Arabidopsis thaliana: one gene and its partner. The protein of the gene in region 2 interacts with the protein of the main gene of each other region in a pairwise test. Each region holds a gene or a part of one and is shown on either strand. Other genes may lie near its edges.

Evidence for each region.
Region 1: the proteins of AT1G05640 (region 2) and AT3G26110 interact in a protein complementation assay, tested with the Arabidopsis thaliana proteins (one large-scale study listed by BioGRID).

Annotation. Positions count from the first base shown.
Region 1 is NC_003074.8:9,539,493-9,542,716, forward strand, and holds AT3G26110 (Anther-specific protein agp1-like protein), read left to right. Parts: upstream 1-1,990; 5' UTR 1,991-2,080; coding exon 2,081-2,467; 3' UTR 2,468-2,672; downstream 2,673-3,224. Other genes in the region: AT3G26100 (Regulator of chromosome condensation (RCC1) family protein), read left to right, coding at 1-317, 415-657; AT3G26115 (Pyridoxal-5'-phosphate-dependent enzyme family protein), read left to right, coding at 2,809-2,883, 3,033-3,224.
Region 2 is NC_003070.9:1,688,236-1,691,994, forward strand, and holds the start of AT1G05640 (Ankyrin repeat family protein), read right to left. Parts: upstream 1,721-3,759; 5' UTR 1,267-1,720; coding exon 663-1,266; intron 564-662; coding exon 154-563; intron 71-153; coding exon 1-70. Other genes in the region: AT1G05650 (Pectin lyase-like superfamily protein), read right to left, coding at 2,029-2,256, 2,367-2,595, 2,744-3,033, 3,454-3,759.

The sequences.
Region 1 (3,224 bases), on a different chromosome or scaffold from region 2:
ATCCTCGGGTCATCGAGCAGTTTCAGATATTGAATCTTCAACCTAGGGTAGTTGCAGCGGGTGCTTGGCATGCCGCGGTGGTAGGTCAGGATGGAAGAGTGTGCACTTGGGGTTGGGGAAGATATGGATGTTTAGGTCACGGTAACGAGGAGTGTGAATCAGTCCCTAAGGTTGTTGAAGGTCTAAGCCATGTCAAAGCAGTTCATGTCGCAACAGGAGACTACACTACTTTTGTGGTCTCAGACGATGGTGATGTTTACTCGTTTGGCTGCGGCGAATCCGCTAGTCTCGGTCACCATCCATCCTTTGATGAACAGGTTAGTGATTGGCCATGGCCTCCATTGTTTCTTTTGCTTACATTATATGTTCTAAACTTATGTTTAGTCGTATGTCTGGTTTGATTTTTTGTTGCAGGGTAATCGACATGCAAACGTGCTAAGTCCAACGGTAGTAACATCGCTAAAACAAGTGAACGAGCGGATGGTCCAGATAAGTCTAACGAACTCCATATACTGGAACGCTCATACATTTGCGCTCACGGAATCGGGGAAGCTATTCGCGTTTGGTGCAGGCGATCAGGGTCAGCTTGGAACAGAGCTTGGTAAGAACCAAAAAGAAAGGTGTGTACCGGAAAAAGTGGATATCGATCTCAGCTAGCTAGCTGACTTATGTGGTTTGGTTGGTAAGAAACTACGTTTGACATCAAGGAAACAAAAACGCAAGAAAATTTGCGTTTGCTTTTTATGTTCATAAGACTTGGAAGCTTGTACAAAAAGGGGAATAACATAAACTTGTCTTTAACATTTCATTGTATAGGGTTTTTAGATTATTCTAATTGTTCATTGGTTAAGTTTTAGGTTATGTTGTTAATAATTATCAAATAATTTCATTAAATCAAATTATTGTCAGATTCAATTTCTACCAAATTTTTATTTTATTTTCTGTTTTCATATTTGTTGGGTTTACATCTATATATACATTTTTGCAGCCATTTTGTGATTTACATTTATATATACATCAATAAATCATGGAGTTGGAACTTATTTACAATGGTTACCACTGGCTTATTCAATGCGAAAATTAACTATCAAATAAAAGCAAATCTTATTCAAAAGAATATGCTCTTATTCCATGGCCTAGTTATTTTTGCCAAAATGGTTAAAATATTTAAAAATTAAATAATTATTTGAAAGAAAACTTTAAATTGATTTAAATTATAAATCTTTTAATAAAAATATTAATAAAAAAATAAAATAAAATAATTTCACCGAACATGATTAGATAGTAGGACTAGATGGTATGACATGTTTATAATATTATAATATATAAACTTTATAACAATTAAATAAATATTTGAAAGAAAACTTCTAAATTGATTTGAATTAAATATTTTTTAAATTAAAGTATTATTAAAACAAAAATAACAAAATAATGTCTAATTTTACTGAACAGGGTTAGTGGTAGGACGGGTTTGGTCGATAGTATTACGAGACGGTATACCACAAGTGAAATCCATTAGATATGTTTAATTTCATTGTGCATGATTAGATGGTATGACGGGTTTTGATCGATAATAATACGAAACGATATACTACGGATGAAATCCTAGATATGACAATTAAAATCTATATATATATTATCTTAAACACTAAATAAAGCAAACAATATTAATAAAACAAATATCTACATATACATTTTATATAACAAATTTTATTAAAAACCTAGCCCCGCGGTATACCGCGGGTCAAAATCTAGTTAGAGTACTAATATTCTATCGAAGAAAAATCTAAAATCCTATTTCTCAAATTGTTTTTGCTATATTTGATAAGATTAGAATTTAGAAAAAGCTTAATTAGGAGTAGAAGATAATATGTAATTTGCAATTTTTTCCTCAACCTTTAATATTTTTGGCAAAACCTCAAATTGCGTTGAGTCATCTTAGCACTTTGATCAAACAACTATATAAGCAAAGACCCTCATTACACAATTCAAGATAAATAAATAAAACAAAATACCCATAAAACATTTTTCAAAAAAAAAAAGTTTTTTGGGGATTACTAAATAACTAAATTAAAAAATAATGGCGCGTCTTCACCTAGCTCTCCTCCTCCTCTTCGTCGCTATCTCCGCCGTGATCGTATCAGCTGCTGAGAACGAAAAACCACCGTCAACCACCACCGCCTCAGCTCCCACCGCTACAACTCCAACCGATGGCATTGGAGGTGATATAGCAGAGGGTCCAGCTGATGACAATGCTATTGGAACAACTGACAACGACGATGCAGCTGTTACTCCCGATGATGCCAATGGAGATGATGAAGTGGCAGTCGCCGGACCTATTGGAAGCGATGCTTCGTACGCTAACTATCCTCCACCACAAAAAGAAGCTTCCGGAAGCGATGCCACCGTAGCTTTTGGCTTTGTCTCTGTTGTTGGTGCAGTTGCTGGATCGCTCTTCTTTTTCTAGAGTTGTGATCGGCGCGCGAACTTATTACTATTGTAATAAAAATGTTTGTAATATTTTCTTGTTTTAGATGTATTTTGACGATCCCTTCTTCGATGTAACATTGATTATATTGGGATGATACATATTTAATATACTAATATAAAGAAAGTTTTTTATTTGTGGGGTTAATATATTTCTGCATCTCATAAATTTACAAAAATAGCCCACAATATATGGGCCGTATTTTCTCACAGGGCCTAGCCCATCAACGTGTGAGTAAGCGCGTGTTTTTCACGTCTAAAAACCTCCATATCTTCTCCGCTAGCTCCGGAATAGAAGAAATTTTGCAGAGAGAAGCGTCAATGAAGGTCCAACGGTCAACTTTTTTGGCGGTGACCGGAAAATCAAATCTTCATCACTTTCACTCGTCTTCTCAGGTTCTCTTTTCTCTTCTCTGCGTCATCTAAATCAATTAAAAATCGTTCCTTTTGTCACTTCTAAGAATACCCATTTGCAATTGCAGAAAAAAATCTGAACTTTTTCTGATTTCATTGCGTTTTGGGGATAATGTCTTAATCAATTTCAGAGAATTCCCATTACTTCCGAGATCGATTCACGAGAGTTTGTGTCTAAATTACTCGATAGAAAATGGGGATTACAGTGTCCTGCATCTCCAATTCAGCAGATTAGTGTTTCTTCTGTCAAAGGAATCGATAAATTCTCCTTCTTGAACAACACTCGTCCACATCTCGGAGATGAAATGTCGAAGTCGAAGCAA
Region 2 (3,759 bases):
GTGCAGTATCTCCAGCCTTATTCATAGCATTAAGGTTAATTCCATCAAATGATACCAAACATCTCACTATCTGCAAGCAAAGGCAAAATGCAGTTCATCAGAATTCTTGTAGATTGAGAAACTGAGGGGAGGGGGAATTAGCGATGATGATACCTTAATACGGCCTTTGTTTGTGGCAGTGTGCAACGGCGTATTCCCTTTACTATCCTCAACACTCAAAATCGCAGGATCAGGTTTCACCAACTCAAGAACAATCCCTTCGTTCTGACCTTTGACAGCCATGTGAAGCGCTGTTTGTCCCTTCTTATCAGTTCTAAACCCGATGCTTGCATCATTACCTATCAAAGACTTAACCACTTCTCTGTGCCCCATTCGCGCTGCAGAATGAAGTGCGGTTTTACCATTGTTCTTAGCTATCTTAGCTAAATGAGAATCCGTCTTTAAAAGAAGATTCACCACATCAGTGTGTCCTTGTGAAGCAGCCGTGTGCAATGCAGTTGTACACGATAGATCCACCGTCATAGCCAGATTCGGAAATGTCTCCAACAATTTCTTCAATGCCTCTGCAAAAGACAGCACACATTCAAAGATATATGTCAAGAAGGTGTACAACAATAACAAGGTCTTCAAGTTATTATCAGATTCTCTAAAGTTTCATTTACCAATATGGCCTTGTTTTGCAGCGACATGGAAAGGATCAAAACCGTTGCGAGCTTTAACTGATGCAGTATCAAGATCCATATGTTTCAACATCTCTTCAACAACTAATGAATGCCCATTTTCTGCTGCACTATAAAGAGGGGTCTCTCCTTCTAGATTCTGCTTTGATGACAACTCCTTCAACTCTTCAATGCCGTTACAAGCTCGAATCAATTCCATAACCTTTCCCAAATTCCCCGTTCGAGCTGCGAGATGAAGAGGAGAATCTCCTCTTTTACCAGGTGAGTCAGTCTTCTTCTTCCTCTCACCACCAACATTCATGAAACTTAACTGTCTCTCCATTACTACCCTAAAGCTTTTCTGCTTCTCAACAAACCCACGAAAGCTTCTCTGCCTCTCCATTGCCCTCTCCTGTTTCTCCATTGCTCTTCCTTTGATTCCATGTTTCTCAACAACATTCACAGCTAGGAAACTAACTTGCTTGTCCAAAGCTCTTCCCTTTCTCACCTGATTCTCTGCACCAACGCATCTGAGACTCTGCTGTTCCTCCACAGAGTTACCTCGAACGCTCTCTTGCTTCTCCATAACAGGAACCAGAGAACTCATGGTATGCTTCTCCCTTAGATTACACAAAGATCTTGAATAACAACTTTTTCTCCCAAATCTGAAAGATGCCAACTTTGTTTGAAGAATCCGTGAGCTCTTTTCCAGCAACCCGTGTTTCGTAATAACAGAACCAGCTTGAAAATGGAAAACCCTGACTTCCCTGTGATTTCCAGATTTCTTGTAAAGATTCAAACCGATGTGATGAAAGAAGAGAGAGAAAAAAAAAAAAGGTTGCAGCTGATTTCAGTAGAGTGTAGCTGAAACCCAATAGATTGATTTGTAAATCTCAATGCTTTTTGTGGGCAAATCATGTAAGATTCTCAGGATATAGAGATAGAGAGAGAGACTGTGATGAGTGACTGCATCTTCAGCTGTTTTCTTTATTAATTTCGCTAAACTTCCAAAATCTTTAGTAATATTAGTGATTACTTTTTCTTTTGAGTTTTGAAGCAACAAATTCTTAATTACTATGTCAATTATCTCCAGTTTAAAACTTTATATCCAGTTAAAGCTTCTTTTCTCTAATTTCTTTATATTTTTGTTGTCCAAATCAAAGACCAAAAAGCAAAAGCACAATGTGATGGTGACAACAAGTCAAAGTCTTCCACTTTGTTGGTTACTGAAAATAATATTTTATTAATAAAAAAAAAAAAATTGTATGTTACAGAAATTGGTGATCATATACCTTGTTACAGAAAACTATTTGAAAAATCAGTTTCCTAATAACATTTCACAGTGATATCATCTTAACCCCAAATAAATTCATCGATTTAGACAACTAGTAGGTTGAATAACACCAAGATTTTTCCCAACAGCATTGAAGCACAAGGAAGTAGCAGGAGTTCCTTTGTTGTAAGTAAGCTTTATGTCTTGTAATGTGATTCCCGTGCATGGATTGCTCTTGCTACACACCAGCTTCATTGCTTCCTGCGTCGCCGAAGTTCCTTGTATGTTCTTGTACGTCACTTGGGTTATCTTCACCCCCGAATGCTAATACATACCATAAACATAATAAATCTTTAGTTATTTGACTAAGTTGATAATTTGATATAGCATATTTGATTAGTCTGAAATTGATCAAAAATATGATATGGATATACCTCAGTAGGGCAACCTTGGTTGGACGGACAATAGTTTTGGTCGATTATGATAGGGTTTTGGACGTTCCTCATGATTAGATTTTGAAAGAAGACGTTTCTAACGAATCCGGTACTCGGCCTCGCCCATGACTTTATCCTCACGCCGTTTTGTGATCCGGTGAATACCGAACTCGATACTGTCACGTTCTCTACTCCGTCTTCGTTTAACTGCTTTGCCAAACTCCCGATGCTGCCAGTCATCACATCATCATATGAGTTGTGACCAGAGTGAGTGAAGGCAATATTGCTAGTTTTTTTTTTGTTGGAAATTCATGATTCCTAACAATTAATGATATATTTACATAATTTACTCTAAGGAATTAGACGGTGGTGTATACCTAACCCCGTGACCTGGGCCACAAGCAAGCTTGGAAATTAGGAAGTTGCGGGTCCCCTGACCGATAGCAACACAATCGTCTCCGGTCTGAACGGTGCTTCCGGTTAATGTGACTCCAGTGGAGAACTGAACGGTGAAGCCGTCAGTGTTTGGGCTGTCTCCGGGAGCCACCAGCCTAATGTTACGGACGGCCACATTGGTGCAACCGTTGAGGGTCATATGGCTAACCTGGCTGTTCATCGATTTCACTCCACTTATGATCACGTCTTTTGCGGAGTTGAACGATATTGACTACAGTAATTAATATATAAACGCCATAGATTAATAATAAGATTATAAATATTTCATTTTATTTTGACCAAAGAATCCATTTCCTTGTCCAAAAATCATTATCATAATAGTTATTATATGCTTATAAAATAAATTCCTAAAAATGGCATGGATAGATCATATTGAAAATTAAATGTGCCTGAATTAATATAGTTGAAAACTATCAACTAATTCCTTTTTTTTTTTAATCGTAAGTAAATGATTGGAATAAAGATATGTTATTTGACTATTAAAAAAAATATATTGACTTATTTAGTTATTACTAATCAATAATGATTAAAGCTATTTGTTGCTCTTTTGCATTCTGGTGGCGCTTATGTATGAATGTCAGATTGTTGTTTTTATTTACAATAACTATAGATAGAGGAGAAGCATATGTACCCTAACACCGGGAGGACAATTCTGGCCAGATTTCCGGCAAGACCAGAACCCACTACCTCGAGCGTCAAAAGTCCCACCGACCAGTGAGAATCTGTTAACCTTGTTGAAGAGAATCCAGGAACCGGAATTGCCAAAGGTCCTATAATCTTCCGGAGCAACGACGGTTCCGGTCACTTGAAATGTGATTTTGCTCTTGCATGGCCCTCCAAACGTTATTACCTTCAACAAAAATGTCCCCGTGGGGACCACCACCGTGGCTGATGCTGCCGAGCCACAAGCCCCTTGCCATGCCTTTAGGAATGCTGC